Oryctolagus cuniculus: one gene and its partners. The protein of the gene in region 2 interacts with the protein of the main gene of each other region in a pairwise test. Links are inferred from orthologs where the notes say so. Each region holds a gene or a part of one and is shown on either strand. Other genes may lie near its edges.

Region 1 (2,917 bases), on a different chromosome or scaffold from region 2:
CAGGGGCAGAGTTCCCCACCTGCGGAAAGCAGGTGCAGGAGGTGCCCAAGGGAGCCCAGGGTTGGGCACGGAGAGGGTGTCTCTTCCCTACCCTGCCCATGGCCTCTGAAGGCTCAGGGTCCCTTGGCGGGGCCAAGGAAGTGTGCTCTGCTCGCCACATTCCCAGAGAGGAGGAGGACTTGAAGGAAAAGAACTGCACATCAGACCCAGGGGAGACCGTTCCCCTTCAGAGAACGACCAAGTGGCTGTCCGGAGCCGCCCTGAGCTACCTCACTGACTCTGGGGGCGGCCACCTGGGAGGTGGAAGCAGCCGTCGGGACTTGGGGCCCCAGTTGCCCAGGTTTGGTCCAGCGCCATCGTGGGTGATGGGAACTGCTCTCTTGGACGCAAGGGCATTCGATCCTGGCAGCAGGGACCACGAGAGGGGCCAGCCCCTGCCCCAGCCCAGTAGTTCCCTCTGCTCTACCTCCCATCGACTCTTCGCCCCTCCCCCATCACATACATCTTCCAATGTCCAAAAAGTTACAAAGTGTTTATGAATATAACATACAAAGATGCAGCCTCCTTCCTAGGGCAAGGCAAGGAAGGGGTGGTTAAATAAGGCACAGGAAGCTGCAGGAAGCACCGCTCTGGGCAGGGCCCAAGGGGGAAAGGAAGTTGGCGCTGGGGCCCAGCCCTGACACCTGCTGGCGGGGGAGGTGGAGATCCCCTCCAAGTGCCAGGGTCCGAGGCTGAGCTAATTGGCAAAGCTGACGAAGGAGAGGGGTGGCCGCTTCGGCTGTCTGCTGCTGCTTGCCCTTACTCGGCCATGCCCTGTCGTAAAACCCCAGAGTCTCAGGTGCCAAAGGCCTTCGGAGGGCTTGGAGCGGGTGGGAAGTTTGAAAGCCAGTAAGCCTGTGTGCTGAGGGGCTGCTGGGAGACTGGGGCGGGGGTGGCAGGGACGGGTTCTCATACATACCCTGCTGTGGGGGCCCCAGGCGGAGGAGGCCGGGGAGCAGGGGCGGGGTGGGGCACCGTGACCCCAGCCTCTCCGTCCCCTGCAGTATACTTGGAAGAAAGGGGGCTGCTGCTCGGGAGGGCGGGGCTGGGCCCGCAACCGGCTTCAGTTCTGGTGGAGGTGGTACTTCCCTCACCCTAGGGTAGCCTCTAGCTGGTGATGGCAGAGGGCCCCGCGCCTCCTCGCTTCTCGAAGAACATGTAGTCCTGCAGGGAAGCCGCCATGAACGGGGGGCTGGGCCAGGTCTGGAACCACCCCCTCCCCTATACATGACATCCGTCCCTAACCCACCCCTAGTGAGAAGCCAGCGGGTGCACAGAGATTCAATAAGGGATGGCAAAGGACTGGCAGGAGGAGAGGGGCAGGGGCAGGGGCAGCCAACTCACGATGAGAAACGTGGCTCCCAGCAGCACAGCCTTTAGCTTCACGTCCAGATCCAGTGGGAACTGCAGACCGAAGTCGTCTGCGTCCGTGAGCGCCTCTCGGAGCAGCCCCCCCCACTGCTTGCTGATGCGGCCCACGCTGCGGGACTCGTCCTTGGTCTTCACCTGTTGGGGGAGAGGGGAGGACCCTACTGGGAGCATGCACCCCATCCCAGTGGCCTGCGGACACCCATCCTGGCCAACACGGATGAATCATGGGAGCTCTACACTCAGTGAATCCCCTCAACCGTCTGTGGGACAGCTGGGGAGACCGGGCACCCTGGGTCTCACTGTGAGTCTGGATTCAGACCCAGTCCCTTCCTTCTAAGGACCCTGCATGACAACATGTGCGGTGCGAGAAATGGGAGGTGACACAGTCTCATCCCCTTAGCGTGAGGCTGGTTGCTGTCTGCTTTGGTTGTCAGTGTCTCTGCTGCCTCCCTCCGGGTGGTGCAGTTGGCGCCCCACACGCAGTAGCCTGGCGGGGAAGACAGAGGAGGCTGCCGAAATGCTGCCTCGTTTACCAGCCACGTGGGCCCTGGAAGCCTGCATCTGCCCGGACGGCTACTTTTTCCCTAAGGTGGGCCCTGCCCAGCACTGACCGCAAGCCTCATGTAGAGGGGAGCCAGGCCCTGCTACAATAGATGGTGACTCACGGCGACTTCCTGGTCCTTTTCCTGTGCCCATTATCCAGTAACTAGAACCAGAGCGACTTCCCTGTGTGTCTGCTACCCCCCGGCCCCACTTTCCTACAGCTCTGGGACCCTTCCTGCAGCCCCGTCCCAGCCGGCGCTGCAGTCCAGAGCAGGCAGCCCATTCATAATTATGTAAAAGAGACACTAGGCTTGTGAGAACCCCACAATCTGCCCATTCCCATCCAGAGAACACCCAGTGCTCGCTCTCCCAGCTGGTTCCCATCATGGAGCCTCCCTCTGGCTATTAACATGACTCATTTTAAAGAGCAACCCTAGGTGAAGCGCCTCACCAGACGCGCTGGCAAGTCTGCTGGATCACGCCCGTTGTCTGCTTTATCTGCACAGGGACTTAGGCCTGGGGAGTTTCTGCAGTGCCTCTGCCTTCCAGAAACCAAGGCGCTTCCCAGGCCTGACTCTGAGACCCTCACCACGTAGGCTCTCAAAACTGGGGCTAAGGGCATCGCGTGGGCTCCAGGCTGCAGGGAGCGTTTGGACTTCCGGATCGGCAGGGCAAGTCAGCATGTTAAATGCAGGCATGCTTCAGGTGTTAGGCTCACAAACTCAAGCCCAGCCCATGGCCAACATCCCCTGCCCCCCCCACCCGGTCTGGCTTTAGAGTTCCACTCCCACCCCTAATGCAGGGCTGTCAGTAGCCATCAGCACCCACACTATGCTCTCCTAACACCACGGGACATTCCATTTCCAAATGGAAGTGTGGCAGGTCAGGGTCTTGAGCTTACTAAACCCATCCTGCCTCCTGGAAGCTGCCACCTTGGTCTGTGCAGGTCCCAGCTCCCCTTACG
Region 2 (4,049 bases):
CCTGGGGCTCTGCGGGATGCTGAGTTGGTTCTGCACAGCCAGGGCCACGCTGTCACCCTTCTGGAACACCATGTCATAAGGGCCTTCCCCAAACATCATGGCATAGAGCACACAGCCTAGGGACTGAACGTAACTTGGTTAGTCCCTGAAAGATCAAAGGGGATGGCATCTTTTCCCTTTCTTTTGAGGGGAAAGGAGACCACACAAGCCAAACAGAATAGGCCAACCTGAGCCACACAGAGCTCCCAGGGCCCAGAGAAACCCCCAGAGAGCTGGGCACCTCTGCAGCCCTCACTTCATGGGAGGGAGACCACTTCCTTCAGTATCAGTGACAGTTTGCAGGAAGGAAGTTGAGAGAGATGGCAACAAGCTGCGGTTCCCGGGGCCCCTTGCAACAGAAACCAAAGACCTACTTCTCTGCCTGACAGCACCTCCGAGCCACGCCCCTCCCCACGCAGATTCCCGCCCACATGCTCCTCACCCAGACATCAGTCCGCTCGTCAATAACACAGTGACTCTGCACGGAGAAGAGCTCCGGGGCCCGGTAGGAGATGGTGCACCGCTGGGCTGCCCAGTCCTAGAACGGTGGCCTCAGAGCTCAAAAGCAGGGCACAGGCCAGGGTCAAGTGACCGAACTGGGGCACGTAACAGAAGGGGTCAGGGTGCGGAACAGGTGGGCAAAGGAACCCGAGGCTCTTACTTGCAGGGTCAGGGCCTGGCGGGAGCCCTCCACATGGATGCATGCTTGATTCATGGAACCCAAATCCATTAACACTGGCTGTCCCTCATCGCCAAGCAAGATGTTGGTGGGTTTCAGGTCCCTGCAGAGAAATAGAAAGGACATGTAAGCTGGAATCCTGGGGGGGGGGGGGCGGGGGGCTGATCACAGGGAGAAGAGCAGAGCCCAGAGCCCTCCCCTTTCTCTTGGTGAGGTTCTTGCTCCTGGGCCCCCTGAGCACACAGGGCCCTCCCACTGACCTGTGGGCATAGCCCTTGGCATGAATGGCCTCCAGGCCTCTGCAGATGCCCAGCAGCAGCCGCAGGATTTCATCCTCAGTCAGGAAGTTGCCCTTGTCCTTGAGCCTTTCTATCTCAGCCCACAGCGTCCCTCTCTGCAACAAGAGTTTCCCCACAGCTGGAGACGGTGCCGGAGCCTCTGGTCTCTGGGCCTGATCGTGTGCCTACGTCAATGCCCATCTGCCCTCCTCCGATCACCTAGACCTCAAACCCCCCACTCCCACATGGGCTCCTCTAAAGCTCAAGTCTGAAGCGGCCAGGACCCCCGCTGGCCGGCTCGTTTGACTGCTCACACAGCCCCTGGCGGGTGGCTCTGTGGCAACCCTCTCCACGCCAGGAGCATTTCTGACCTTAAAGAAGGGCAGCAGCAGCCAGGCCTCGTGCTTAGCATCTCGCTCCCTCAGGCAGTAAGCGACGAGGCGCAGGATGTTGGGGTGATGGAAGAGGCGATGCATGTCTGCTTCCCGCTGCGCGTCCTCTCGGTCCTGCTGCTCATGACACAGGATTCGCTTCAGGGCGTAGAAGTGTCCATCATGTAACCCCTCCACTAGGTCCACATAGCTGAACCCACTGTGGGCCAAAGGGGTCAGTGAAGGGCCACGGTCATCTCCCACAGGGCTTGGATTCAGAGGACTTTTCTGGGAGACGGCAGTGTCTCTCCCATTCAGTAAAAACCCTCCCAAGATGCGGCTCTAAGAGAAGGCTGAAGGTTGTTACACCTTGAGCTCCCCCAAAGCAGGCACAGGGAGACCGGGGAGGTGGACGTGGGCATAACACAGCGCTGTGCACCTGTATCAGGTGCTTATGAACCATGCACTGTGTGGGGCGGTCTAAACCCATGACCTCATTTACTCCTCACAACGCCATCAGTGAGGCGGGATAAGCATCTCCATTTAGTGGAGGAAGAAATCAATGGCTTATCAAGGACAAGCGGATGTGGCTCTAGGAGGCGGGGCTCCAGAACCCACTCTCTGGACTACCAGGCACCTAGATGCCATCAGGTGACCCAGAGGTTAGGGATAAAACCCTTCTGCCTCTGTCCCGTGCAGAACGCCGGTCCTCCACGACCATAACCCTGGGGATTAGGTGATTTCCAAACACTCACCCCTCCCCCAGTTTCTGGATGAAGAGGTAACGCTTATTGTCAATGATGACCGTTCCCCGAGAGCAGACACAAAGCGCGTGGCCCATAATGTCTCAAACATCCTCCTCAAGGACGGGCTGCAGCTGCCGGGGGACTGGTCCAGGGTGAGTGGGCTCTTCCGGGCGAGGCGCCGCGGGCCCAGTGGCTCATGCTGGAAGGAAAACAAACGGCAGAGTCGCGGGTCCGGCACAATCCTCACGACCCCTGAAGGACCAGCGCGGAGAGCTTAGGCTCAGGTCTCGGAACCTGGATCTCCGTGTAGGGAAAAAGGGTCCTGACAACGCCAGCTCCAAAAAGGCCGCAGTCAGGTGCCTTAAAGCCCCAGGCCACTTCCTCCAACCCCAGTCCACCTTTGGGCGGGCCCTTTCCCACGCCCGTCGGTCCCCAAAGGAGGGCGGGCATAGAGTAGTTCCCGAGGAGGTGCGAGCCTCCGGCCCACCTCTTGCAGAACCCACCCCCAACCTCAGAGCGCGGAGCCCGGGATCGATCAGCTCGGACGTCCCACTGACCTGGCCCGGGAGGGAACTCAGCCAGAAGCCGGAAGCGGCGTCTACGTCATCAGTCCGCGCCGGCGTAACGGCCCGCGGTATCCTAGCAACCGCTGGGCATCCCGACGATGTGGGGGCGCGGAACCGAGAGGCCGGGGGCGGGCTAGGCCTGCAGGTGCACGGGTCGCGGGACCCGGGTGAAGGTTCCCTACCTGGCCTTCAGTAGGGGTCAAGACGCAGGCGTCTGCGCCAAGGGGGGAGCAAAGCCGGGCTCGGCCCGAGGCCCCCAGGACCTCTATCTCCCAATGTCCGAGGTAGGAGGCCTCATACCTCCCGTGCGCTGGGTCCAGAATGCGCCCAACTATGGCCCATCCCTGAGGGCGGCCCCGGGAGGGGCCGGTGACCTTCCAAGCCCTGCTCACGAACCTCACTGCCAGTTTCTAGACAGGGGGTCTTAGTAACCTACCTGCTGTGTGACCTCGACCAATTAGCCTGTTGGATCCTAGTTTTCTGTAGCTGTAAAAATACATGTAATAGTGCCTAATATTTAGTGCATGAACTGCGAGGCTAATTCAAATCCCAGCTAGACTAAACTAGTTGTGGGAGCTCAGGCAGTCTACCTGACATGTCTGTCCTTTAGTTTGTTCATCTGTAAAGTGGGAACGGTAACAGTGTTACATAACCCTCAGTAAGTGTCTCGCAACAGGAATGATAGTTACTACTACTCCGCTCCTCACATCCCAGGCTTGGGACTATGAGGGCAGGAGGGTTGGAAATCCCCAAATTCAGCCTTGGCATCAAGCAGTTGTCACTGACATCTCTTGCCTAAATGGGCAAGGATAAGCTGGAGAGGGCGCACACTTCCAGAGAGGATGGGATGGCCAGGATGGGCTCTCCAGGAGAAGGGTTCAACTTGTGACCTGGTTTCCCCCTGCCATAGCTCTGATCACCATGAAGATTTTCCTATGGTTTCCCTTGGTACTGACCCTGTTTTCCTGCGTGTTCTGACATTCTGTCATGTAGATTTAACCTGCTCTGTGTCAGGCCCTGTGCTTGAAGCTGGGGGTCCCAGATGGACAAAGCACTCCTCACCTTCAGGGAGCTCAGTCTCAGTAGCGCAGTGCTTCTTGTGAGTGTCCCTGGGAATCTTGCTAAAATACAAATTCTGATGCTATAGGTTTGAGGTAGGACCTGAGATTCCGCGTGTCTAACGGGCTCTCTGGTGACGCTGATGGAGCTGGTTCGCGGCTGCGCTTTGAGTAGCCAGATGTAGAGGACTGTTATACATTAGTAGAGTGGCAGGGAGCTGCAGGCTGGAGACCCAAGCCAGGCTAACCGCCTGGCAGCTTGAGGTGGTCTCCGCCCCCTTGCTCGCTGAGGTTCCCTCCCAGGACTCTGAC
Region 3 (3,514 bases), on a different chromosome or scaffold from region 2:
TTGAACACGTTCTCACCAGTGTGGTTCAGGGAGACCCCGTTAGGGGGCGTTCTCGGGTTCCTGGCTTCATCCCGAGGGCCATCGTCAGTCTCAGCTGTGTGCAAACCTCCAGGACCCCCTGGCCTGCAGGCAGCCTCCCCCGCCCCGACCTCCCTGTGGTCAGCATGAACGCACAACCCTGTGATTCACCCGACACTGAGTCGCGGCGTCCACACCGGGGCCGCCACAGCCCGTGACAGGGCGGCAGGAAGCAGACTCAGTGCCCAGGCTCTGGTCAGTTTCTCGGCACACAGGGGGGAGGCGGGCAGGCTGAGGGTGAGGCGCCTCAGAGGCAGGGCAGACCAGCACATACAGGGATCGAGCTGTCCCAGGCAGCACGCTTTATTTACAGAGTCACAGAACCCCCGCCTCCCTGCCCAGGGCCGGGCCTCTCCGGATCCCAGGAGGGGGACAGGCTCGCGCCCACCCGAGCGGAGCCCGGCAGAGGCTTCCGTGCGTGGGCAGCCCCTGCTGGAGCAGAGGGGCCCGAAGTAGCAGCAGAAGCTCCACGCCGTGGTCCTCAGGGCTGCTGCTGCCGAGCGGCGTGGGGCTGGGGGCGCCGGGGATGTGACCAGATTGGGGTGGGGGCTGGACCCCGCACTGGCAACGCCTGGTGAATTGGAAGATAGCAGAGGAGCCACATCAGTTCCAGCCACCTTCCTGGGGGGAGCAGGGCGGGCGGTGGGGAAGGTAGAGACCCAGGGGACAGACCCCTGCACTGCCTGCCCAATCCGGTCCCCCAGGGGACCCTACGGTCCTCGGGCCTGCTCCACGCTACGTCCCTCCCAGGGGCACCCCAGGCTGGGACACAACCCGGGCCATACCAGGCGGGAAGGGCTGGCAGCCGACAGCTTCCGGTGCTGGGCCGTGGCGAACACCGACGACCACAGGTCCAGACTCTTGGGGGCCGAGCCCTTCTCTGACCTGGGAGGGAGGATGTCCCAGCCCAACAGGCAGTGCTGTGGAGGGCAGGGGTTAGAGAGCCGGCCTGAGGCAGGGCTCCCACTGGCCGGGCACAGCTCCGGGGGAGGGACTGTGCCCCCACCAGGGTAGAGGGAAGCCCTGAGCAGTGGGGGTTGCCCCCAGGACAGGGACCTGTGTACCCCGGATGACCCAGGGCCTGGTCTTTCTCATCCCTGCTGATCCTGCCACCCTGGGGCCCTGGGGGCTGGACACAGACACCGATGGCACCCAACAGTGATCACTTTACTGAACTGCCCACTCAGCCCAGCACCCCCAAGCATGTACTGCTACACCCATTTAACAGACAAACTGACTTTTCTCTGTACCCCTTCCCCTCCCCCAGCCTCAACAGAGGTGGGTGGGTGGTCCAGGACAACATCCAGGGGAAGCACTGTGGAAACGTTAAGAACTGAGTTCAAACCCCGGCTCTTCCGCCAAGGTATCTGGCCCTCGACCTCATCCTAGGGCAGGAGCCACCAGTGCCCTGAGCCCCTGAGGACTGTGCCCGGGGGTACACAGTGCTCCACCGCGGCACACCAGGGCTCCCTCGGGGAGCAGGTGCAGCCTGGGGAATCGGCCCTCCCCAAGCCCAGCCTCACTCTGTGGCCATCCCTGAGAACCTGAGCTGGGCCAGGGACAATCTCGCTCCCACCCACCCCACGCCCCGCGGCTGCTCACCCGAGGCAGGGACAGTGTGTCCGAGGCATCGAAGCTCTTGCGCCTGCGGATGCGATACCAGTGCGGGGGGTCCAGGATGGACAGCGGGACGCTCACCCTGTGCGGGGCAGCAGTGGCCTCTGCTGAGGCACCTCCCCCAGCCCCAGGCCCATCCTCCCCCCTCAAAGCCAGCAGCCCCCCAGGCTGAGGCCCCTCATGGCTGCCCCGAGATGTCCCACAGCTCTGCCACTCACCTGACCTGTGCCGGCTCCAGCAGGGTCTCAGGGCCCTGCTGCTCCCGCAGGGTCCCGCACAGGCGGCAGGGGGTGCCCGGATCCGAAGGCACCAGGAAGAGGCGGCGGTTGACGCGGTAACAGTACACACCTGCGGGCCCAGCAGACGCTGCCTCGGTGGCCCCAGCCCCGGCTACTCCCGCCCATGGGGCTGCCCCTCTGGGGAACAAGTCCTACAGTGGCTCTGGTCTTGGGCCCGTGTCCCAAGGGGTGCAGGTATGCTGTCCTCCCAGGGGCTCTCAGGAGCTGGAACGGGGGCCCAGCCAGCGCTGAAGGCTGCTGGGGAGGGGTGGGGTGGGTCAGCAGGTCACCGTCCCCAAGGCTCCCTGGGGCCGCAAGACCTCTACTGAGGCTGCTTTGGGACGTGAGGGCGGGGGCTCAGGCCAGGGCAGAGCGAGGCTGGGCTCCTCGGCAGCCCGGCGCAGGGCTCACACTCACATTCGTGGTCCCCGTCCACGCCATCGTTCTCGTGCAAACCCAGGAACCCGGGCCTGTGAGGATGAGGGGGGCGAGTGGGGCAGGTGGGAGGGCGGGAGCCCCCAGCCGCCCCAGCCGCCCCCGCCCGGCCCTGCTCACTCAGAGTGGCTGGCCGTGCACTCCTTCTTGTTGGCTTCTCGGAACTTCTGCAGTGTTGCAAAGAAGGCCTCGGGCTTGCTGGTGACGGGAGAGCTGCTGTCCAGGGACCCTGGCGAGGCCAAAGCAGCGGAGCTGCCGGGTAGCCCTGGCCAAGGCCTGGGGAGGTCCTGCCACGGCGCACCTGCCTCAACCCCGCTCTGCCCCCTCCTGGCCAGGACGGGCCCCTCCATCCGCTGTGGCCACGGGCTCTACCTCAGCCCGTCCACTCCCTCGCCACGGCTAGAACGTCTCACACTCTGGGAAATGGCGGTGAGGCAGGGCGACAGAGCCCTCGCCCTTGCAGGCTCACGGCCTTTTTTTTAAGGTTTCCTCCTTTGTTTTTTAAATATTTATTTATTTATTTATTTGAAAGGCAGAGTTAACAGAGAGAGGGAGGGACAGACTTCCATCCACAGTTCGCTCCCTAAACAGCCATAACGGCCAGGCAGAAGCCAGGAGCCAGAAACTTTCTCCAGGCCTCCCACGTGGGTGCAGGGGCCCAAACACTTGGGCCACCCTCCACTGCTTTCCCAGGCACATTAGCAAGGCGCTGGATTGGAAGTGGAGAAGCCAGGATTTGAACTGGCGCTCACGTTGGATGCCGGCACTGCAGGCTGGGGCTTTACCTGCTAACCCACAGCACTGGCCCCGATTTATTCATCTGAAAGTCAAAGTTACAGATATAAAGAGATCTTCCGTCTGCTGGTTCACTCCTCAGATAGCTGCTACGGCCAGGGCTGAGCCAGGCCAGAGCCAGGAGCTCCTTCTGGGTTTCCCTCAGAGATGGCAGGGCCCAAACACCTGTGACGTCTTCCACTGCTTTCCCAGGCACATTAGTGGAGACATGAACTGGTGCCCATGTAGGACCCCAGTGTCGAAGGAGGAAGCTTTACCTGCTGCGCCACATGGGCCCTGGGAGGCTTACATTTTATTTACATTTTATTTTT
Region 4 (4,203 bases), on a different chromosome or scaffold from region 2:
CTCTGTAACTCTACCTTTCAAATAAATAAATAAATTCTTTAAAAAAAAAAAAAAAAAAAAGAGGGGCCAGCGCTGTGGCACAGAGGGTAAAGCTGTCACCTGCCGTGCCGGCATCCCATATGGCCGCCGGTTCAAGTCCCGGCTGCTCCTCTTCTGATCCAGCTCTCTGCTGTGGCCTGGGAAAGCAGTAGAAGATGGCCCAAGTCCTTGGGCCCTGAAACCCTCGTGGGAGACCTGGAAGAAGCTCCTGGCTCCTGGCTTTGGATCGGCGTAGCTCTGGCTGTTGCGGCCAATTGGGGAGTGCACCAGGAAGACCTCTCTTTTTCTGCCTCTCCTTTGTGTAACTCTTTCAAATAAATAAACAAATTTAAAAAAAGAAAGAAAGTAAGTCATGGCCAGTGTAGTGGCATAGTAGGTTAAGCATCCCATATGGGTGCTGGTTGGAGACTCAGCTGCTCCACTTCTGACACAGCTCTCTGATAATGGCCTGGAAAAGCAGCAAAAGATAGCCCAAGTGCTTGGGCCCTGCACCCATGTGGAAGACCTGGAAGAAGCTCCTGGCTTCGGCCTGGCCGAGCCTTGGCCATTGCAGCTATTTGGGGAGTGAATCAACAGATGAAAGATCTCCTGCTCTGCAACTTTGCCTTTCAAATAAGTCTCTCTCTCTCTCTCTCTCTCTCTCTCTCTCTCCCCCCCCTCTCTCTTTTTTAGGATTTATTTATTTATTTGAAAGAGTTACAGAAAGGCAGAGCCAAAGAGAGAGATTAGTCTTCCATCTGCTGATTCACTCCCCAGAGAGCTGCAATGGCCAAAGCTGCGCTGATCTATCTGAAGCCAGGAGCCAGGAGCTTCTTCCAGCTCTCCCATGAGGGTGCAGGGGCCCAAGGACTTGGGCCATCTTCTACTGCTTTCCCAGGCCATAGCAGAGAGATGGGTCAGAAGTGGAGCAGCCGGAACTGGACTCGGAGCCCATAGGGGAGGCCAACACTGCAGGCAGCAGCTTTACCTGCTCTCCATTCTGAAACCACAGTACCTTTTCTGAATCTGATCCCATCACTCCCTGCATTAAATGCCCAGAAAACTCCTCATTCCCTTCCAAATAAACCCTAAACTCTGCAATTCAACCACCTGCTGCTCCCTCCACCCCCCTCATCAAAGCAGGCTGGGTCCCCTTGCAAATTAGACTGTTGTTTCCTCAAGGGAGGGACTGTTCTTGGCTCTACCTTATGTCACTCTTACCTACTACAGAGCTGAGCAGCACACTGCCGACTTGAATGGAGCACACGGTCCTCTGATAAAGGGCGACATTGCCCTACCTGGCACTGAGCACTGGGTCCCGGCATTACCTTTGCCTGGTAATTCATTCAGGCACTTACTGAGCACCTATCTAAGCATTCAGCAGGTGGCCCTGTCAGGCCACCATTGGGCATAGCGGGTTAAGATTCTGCTTGCTATGCCAGTATCCTCTATCTTATCAGAGCTCATGTGAGTCCCTGCTGCTTCCAGGCACCGGAATCTTTTGATCCAGCTCCTTGCTAGTGCACCTGGGAGAGCAACTGGGCCCCAGCACCTACGTGGGAGTTCCAGGTTCCTGGATCTGACCTGCTGGTTGTGGCCATTTAGGGAGTGAACTAGCAAATGGAAGATCTCTCTCAACTCTGCCTTTCAAATAAATACATATTTTAAAAGAAGATGGCTCTGTCACTCGCCAAGGAAAATGCCATTACTGTTGTCCTAGTGGAAAGAGCCATACGTTCCTGGGTCTGCTTTTCCTTCCAAGTCTTCAAGATGGCGGAACCAGGAGTCTGCGCTGTGGCCTGGTAGATTAAGCCTCCGCCTATGACGTAGGCATCCCATATGGATGCCAACTAATGCACCTGGGAAAGCAGTGGAAGATGGCCCAAGTGCTTGCAGCCCTGCACCCTTGTGGGAGAGCCGGAAGAAGCTCCTGGCTTCCAACTGTCCCAACTCCTGACGTTGGGGCTATCTGTGGAGTGAACAAGTGGATGAAAGACTTCTCTGATTGTAACTCTGCCTCTCAAATAAACAAATAAATCTTTTAAAAATTAAAAAAGCAAAGATGTAGCCAAAAGAGAATCAGAATTTTCTGCTCCTACAGCAAACGCAGCCTTTGTCGACCCTCCCCCCTCGCCCAAGCCCAGGGAGGAGGTGAGCAGGAAGCCTCAGGATCCAACCCAAGGGCAGGGCCAGCCTGAAGATGGAGGGGTTTGGGGCGCGGGGGTGGCCAGGGCCGGCAGGAAGAGTTAGGTTCAAAGAAAACCCATGGACTTCACGAAGCCTGAGGGCACACGGCGGAGCGCCAGAGAGGCACTAAAATAAAGACAGTGTGACGAGAACGATGAATAAAGGCGGCCAAGCAAGAAAAAGTGCCAAGAGGAGAGGCCACGCACACCCGGAGCAGGATCCGGCACAGAGGCGCAAAAGCACAGCGGCCAGAGCTGGGGCAGAGATGGCCAAGGAGAAAAGACAGAGCCCTGCCAGAGGAGAGGGAACGCAGCGCGCCCAAAGCGAAAGGCAGCCCCGGGGAGACAGGGGCCAGCGGAAGACCCCGGAGCGCAGCAGAGCAAGACGCGGCGGCGCGGGACACGCGCGGCCCCCGCCCTCCCGCGCACTCACGTTCTGCCTGTCGGTCACGGGCGGGGGCGCCGGCGCCCGGGACGTGGACGCCGGAGACCCGGGCGCAGAGCGCAGGCTGGTCATCTCCGACCCGCAGCTAGCCCGGCGCCGCTCAGCCTACCACGTGCGGCTAACGCTGGCCAGCGGAAGTGCCCCTGGCCCCGCCCCGGGGTGGGGAAGCTAAGCGCAGGAGGGGTTGCCCGGCCAGGTGAGATGCTGAGCCGACCTTGCCCTTTTCTGAGCCTCGGGCTCCCGTGCGGTCCCAGGGGTACCATCAAGACTGAACTAGGGAGGGGAAGGGGAATCAACAACACCCCTCCTAGAGCTAGGAAAGTGAAGTTCCAGGAAGTAGGGTGGCCGGTGTGGGCTATTAAGCCACCACAGGCCACCTGCTAGGAATGCCAAGTACGACCAGTGACGCAAAGAGCTAGGTACCCCGCGCCAGGGCTCAGTAGGCTAATCCTCCGCCTGTGGCGCCGGCACTCAGGGTTCTAGTCCCGGTCGGGGCGCCGGATTCTGTCCCGGTTGCCCCTCTTCCAGGCCAGCTCTCTGCTGTGGCCAGGGAGTGCAGTGGGGGATGGCCCAAGTACTTGGGCCCTGCACCCCATGGGAGACCAGGAGAAGCACCTGGCTCCTGGCTTCGGATCAGTGCGGTGAACCAACAGAAAATGAAGACCTTTCTGTCTCTCTCACTGTGCACTCTGCCTGTCAAAAAAAAAAAAAAAAAATCTAGATACCCCTTTTGTGCGCTATTTTCCTTGTTAAAATAACCACCTCAGGGAGGCGGGCTTTTGACCTAGCTGTAAAGAAGCAATTTGAGAAGCCTGCATCCCAAACCACAGGTCCTGGATTCCATGTTTGCCTGATTCCAGCTTCCTTCTGGTGCAGACCCTAGGGGCGGCGGGGGTGGCTCAAGTGGTTGGGTTCCCACCACCCAATTGGGGGACCTGGATTGACTTCTGATAGGGGAGTGAACTAGCCGGTCTGAGTTCTCAGTCTCTCTATTATTCTCTGCCTCTCAATAATTTTTTTTAAAAAAACCTCTCTTTGTAAAAAAGAAAGTACAGTAAGTCAGGGAGTCAGCATTTAGCTTAGTGGTTAAGAGATCAGCCTCCCACAGTGGAGCATCTGGGTTCAATTCTGGGCTCCAGCTCCTGACTCCAGCTAACTGCCAGTGTAGACCCTGGGAGGCAGTGCTGATGACTCAAGTAAGCAGGTGCCTGCTGCCCACATGGGAAACCTAGCTTGTGTTCTGGCTTTCCCTCCACCCCGGCCCAGCCCTGGTCATTGCACCCATTTGAGGAGTGAACCAACAGATGTGAGCACGCGCGCTCTCTCTCTCTGCCTCTTAAATAAACAAATATATATATATACACACACACATATATATATATATCCCATAAACAGCAAGAGCATAACACCCCACTCCTTAAATGTGGGCTGTGACCAGTGACTTCCTTCTAAGACTACAATAGGGGAAGCAAAGGGCAGGGGGAGGTAGTATTGTAGTGGAGGAACTGACAAATACTACTTCTGCTAGGTGATCAAGGTCAACATCAACTGTTA
Region 5 (3,514 bases), on a different chromosome or scaffold from region 2:
CAGTGGTCCTCTTGCTCCCAGCCCTGTGGGGTGGGGGTACAGCGCCGGAGCCGGATATGCCAGCCCCGCCAGGACCTGCCTCCCCCTCCCCGGCCCCCAAGGCATCCAGAAGCCCAACTCCCCCGCGGTCAGGGCTCCAGACCCCACACCTTGGGAGAAACCCACCCCCTGTACAGGCCACAGCCACGGGGAAGGGGGGGCCCGCTTCGAGGTCCTGCTTCCCTGCCGGGCAGGGAGGACACACAGGAGGTGGCAGGAGCCCGCAGGTGAGGCTCTGCGGGAAGGGGCGGGCCTTGGGTGAGGGGCTGGGCTTGATGTGGAGGGAAGGGGAGCAAAGGACACGCGGCTTCCAGAGGCTTCTCTCGGGTGCCAGGAAGTGGAATGGGGAGACAGGCTCCGGGACAGCTGGAGCGTGCCCCGCGTGTCTGACTCATGTGTGTGACTCATGTCTGCCACACCTTCTCAGGTCCCGGGTCCGAGAGCCCATCAAGCCTGGGATGTTCGGCTATGGGAGAGTGCCCTTTGCCTTGCCGCTGCATCGCCACCGCAGGCACCCCCGGCGGCCGCCCCTGACTCCCGGGGCCGAGCTGCCCTCTGCACTGCCCCCCACAGAACTGCCTGCCCACACCTCATCCCTCCCGGCACACCCCACAGGGTCAGGGACTGTTCAGACCGAGGCTGCCCTGCCCCGAGCCAGGGCTGCCTCCTCGCAGCCGTCCCGTGGAGCCCAGGCCCCCCGCACTGAGCCCCTCTCGCCCACCCTCTCCGGGGAGAGTCGCCCCTTCCACCTGTCCCCTCAGCCAAGAATACCGAGCTCCCAGGGCTGGGCCCGCCCCCGGGAGCCAGGGAGACCCCCTGACCCTTTCCCCTCGGTCCCTCGGGGCTGGGGCCAGCAGAGCTGGGGGCCCTGGAGGCCTGGGGGGAGCCTCCGGGGGTCCCCCGCGGAGCCGAATGGCTGGCTGCCTCTGCTGAGCGACGGACCCCCCTCCAGTTCTCTCTGGAGCCTCTTTGCCCCCAGCAGCCCTGTCCCGCGATGTTCTGGGGAGACCGAGCAGCTGAGAGCCTGCAGCCAAGTGGTGAGTTCCTCACTGGACCTCACTGCCCAACTCAGCTTCCACTCTGTCCCCTTGATCTGGGGCGGGGCACTCAGCTTGTCTGACCCAGCAGGGCGGAGAAAGGCCCCGGCCTCTGACCTCCTTGGGGAAGGGGCCTTGGAAGTCTTCTGTGGACCCCTCCCCCCAGGCCCAGCCTTGGCCCTGAGCCCCATTTGCCTCCCTGACCCTGACTCCTTTGTCCCTCCCCGCAGCCCTGCCCGCCCGAGCAGCCAGACCCCAGGGCACTGCAGTGTGCTGCCTTCGACTCCCAGGAGTTCATGGGCCAGCTCTACCAGTGGGAGCCCTTCACCCAAGGTGAGTGCTCCGGCCCCTCCCCTGGGCAGGGGTCATGGGGTCAGCAAACACCAGTCACTCCCACCCTGGAAGATTTCCCGCCCTTCTCCTTCTCTGCGTCACCCAGGACAGAGGGGACTTGGCCCAGGCCTTGAGCTGCCAGATGGTGCTGACTGGTCTGCAGGGGGCTCGGGGAGGGAGGGAGAGCTGTCCAGAGGTGCCCTTTACATCCCAGGAACGGGGTGGCTATGACCCAAGAGATCCTGCCACCCGGCAGCAGGCTGGGCTGTGCTTACCGTGTCCTGCTCCCAGGGTACCGTCCACTTGGTTTAGGCCTGTGTCACCTTGACACCCAGATGAGACCTCCTGAGTTCAGTGCACACAATCACAGGTGTGGAAGCTCTCTCCTTGGTGGCCTCAGTGACCCCAAGTGACCTGAGCAGCTTATGTCCAGTGACCCAGCAGCCTCAGGGTGTCCCAGAGCTGGCATGAGGGAGATTTCAGAGTTAGTGCGAAAATGTCATTAAAAGATGTTTATTTTGGTACAAAATGATTTTGAAATTCATGCATAGTTTTTTTTTCTAACACATATTTCCTATGAGCTTTTTTCTTTTTTTTTTTTTTAAGATTTATTTATTTATTTGAAAGAGTTACAGACAGACAGAAAAAGAGAAATCTTCCATCCGCTGGTTCTCTCCCTAAATGTCCACAATTGCTGGAGCTGCGCTGATCCAAAGCCAGGAGCCAGGAGCCTCCTCCTGGTCTCCCATGCAGTGCAGGGGCCCAGGCACTTGGATCATCCTCTGCTGCTTTCAGGGAGAGGATCAGAAGTGGAGACGCTGGAACTGGAGCCGGCGCCCGTACGGGATGCCCGCGATACCCACTGTGCTGCAGCGCCGGCCCCTCCTGCTCTCTTTGTAGCGTGTCTCTTCCTTATCTACTAGAGAGGCACAGGGTATGGTGTTTGCAGAGGGAGACAGATACTCTTTTTTAAAAATAAACATATCTCTTTTTAAAAAATATTTTATTTATTTATTGATAGAGTTACAGATAGTGAGAGAGAGAGAAAGGTCTTCCGACTGTTGATTCACTCCCCAAATGGCTGCAATGGTTGGAGCTGTGCCGATCTGAAGCCAGGAGCTTCCTCCTGGTCTCCCACATGGGTGCAGGGGCCCAAGGACTCTCTCTCTCTCTCTCTTTTTTTAAAGATACATTTATTTGAAAGATAGAGTTATACAGAGGCAGAGGCAGAGAGATATTTTCTGTCCACTGGTTCTCTCCCCAAATGGCTGCAATTGCTGGAGCTGGACCGATCCATAGCCAGGAGCTTCTTCCAGGTCTCCCGTGTGGGTGCAGGGGCCCAAGGACTTAGGCTGTCTTCTGCTGTTTTCCCAGGCACATTAGCAGAGAGCTGGATTGGAAGTAGAGCAGCCAGGACTTGAACCGGTGACTGTAGGAGATGCTGGCGCTGCAGGCGGCAGCTTTATCCACTACACTGTAACACTGGCCCCAATGGGCATAGGTTCTTGTGATGTAAGAGTGTAGTAACCAGGGCCAGCACTGTGGCACAGCCGGTTAATGCCCTGGCCTGCAGCACCAGCATCCCATATGGGTGCCAGTTCCACGCCTGGCTGCTCCAGTTCTCATCCAGTTCCCTGCTAATGCACCTGGGAAAGCAGTGGAAGATGGCCCAAGTGCTTGGGCCCCTGCACCCACATGGGAGATCCAGGTGAAGCTCCTGACTCCTGGCTTCAGCCTGCCTGGCCCAGCCCTGGCCCTGGCGGCCTTTTGAGGAGTGAACCAGCAGATGGAAAACCTCTTTCTCTGTCCCTACGTCTCTAACTCTCTCCTTCAACTAAATACAATAATTTTTTTTTGTTTTAATGTATAGCCACCAAACTATACGGGATGGCCACATGGCAGGTGGTGGCTTAACCCGCTGTGCCACAGCGCTCCCTCCCAGGAGCTTTTTGAAGATCCTTCCTATGCATGGATTTCAACATTTTCTGCACCCCAGTAAACACCTTTCAACTCCACTTTGCCACAAACGTTTTCAGGGGCCTCCTGAGCAAAGCTTCTGCGGGGGCCCTGGGCCCTTTCCATCCGCTTCCCCTCCCGCCCACCCA

The links.
Region 1: the proteins of STK16 (region 2) and PLSCR3 interact in binary tests that used the Homo sapiens proteins (3 or more experiments, as listed by UniProt). The two-hybrid records come from large-scale screens. The link is inferred for Oryctolagus cuniculus from reciprocal best matches to the Homo sapiens genes STK16 and PLSCR3.
Region 3: the proteins of STK16 (region 2) and MIIP interact in binary tests that used the Homo sapiens proteins (3 or more experiments, as listed by UniProt). The two-hybrid records come from large-scale screens. The link is inferred for Oryctolagus cuniculus from reciprocal best matches to the Homo sapiens genes STK16 and MIIP.
Region 4: the proteins of STK16 (region 2) and KCTD14 interact in binary tests that used the Homo sapiens proteins (3 or more experiments, as listed by UniProt). The link is inferred for Oryctolagus cuniculus from reciprocal best matches to the Homo sapiens genes STK16 and KCTD14.
Region 5: the proteins of STK16 (region 2) and ADAMTSL4 interact in binary tests that used the Homo sapiens proteins (3 or more experiments, as listed by UniProt). The two-hybrid records come from large-scale screens. The link is inferred for Oryctolagus cuniculus from reciprocal best matches to the Homo sapiens genes STK16 and ADAMTSL4.

What each region holds. Positions count from the first base shown.
Region 1 is NC_091448.1:51,969,974-51,972,890, forward strand, and holds the end of PLSCR3 (phospholipid scramblase 3), read right to left. Parts: intron 1,546-2,917; coding exon 1,384-1,545; intron 1,204-1,383; coding exon 1,147-1,203; 3' UTR 514-1,146; downstream 1-513. UniProt on the Homo sapiens protein: Catalyzes calcium-induced ATP-independent rapid bidirectional and non-specific movement of the phospholipids (lipid scrambling or lipid flip-flop) between the inner and outer membrane of the mitochondria.
Region 2 is NC_091434.1:20,221,871-20,225,919, forward strand, and holds the start of STK16 (serine/threonine-protein kinase 16), read right to left. Parts: upstream 2,807-4,049; 5' UTR 2,671-2,806; exon of another isoform or gene 2,408-2,670; intron 2,313-2,407; 5' UTR 2,209-2,312; coding exon 2,123-2,208; intron 1,588-2,122; coding exon 1,368-1,587; intron 1,113-1,367; coding exon 979-1,112; intron 822-978; coding exon 701-821; intron 578-700; coding exon 482-577; intron 124-481; coding exon 2-123; intron 1-1. UniProt on the Homo sapiens protein: Membrane-associated protein kinase that phosphorylates on serine and threonine residues. In vitro substrates include DRG1, ENO1 and EIF4EBP1. Also autophosphorylates. May be involved in secretory vesicle trafficking or intracellular signaling.
Region 3 is NC_091438.1:156,459,696-156,463,209, forward strand, and holds the end of MIIP (migration and invasion-inhibitory protein), read right to left. Parts: intron 2,638-3,514; coding exon 2,529-2,637; intron 2,444-2,528; coding exon 2,391-2,443; intron 2,044-2,390; coding exon 1,914-2,043; intron 1,778-1,913; coding exon 1,681-1,777; intron 999-1,680; coding exon 864-998; intron 650-863; coding exon 560-649; 3' UTR 350-559; downstream 1-349.
Region 4 is NC_091432.1:69,093,920-69,098,122, forward strand, and holds the start of KCTD14 (BTB/POZ domain-containing protein KCTD14), read right to left. Parts: upstream 2,808-4,203; 5' UTR 2,722-2,807; coding exon 2,638-2,721; intron 1-2,637.
Region 5 is NC_091438.1:47,449,216-47,452,729, reverse strand, and holds part of ADAMTSL4 (ADAMTS-like protein 4), read left to right. Parts: coding exon 1-266; exon of another isoform or gene 267-466; coding exon 467-1,076; exon of another isoform or gene 1,077-1,306; coding exon 1,307-1,409; exon of another isoform or gene 1,410-1,871; intron 1,872-3,514. UniProt on the Homo sapiens protein: Positive regulation of apoptosis. May facilitate FBN1 microfibril biogenesis.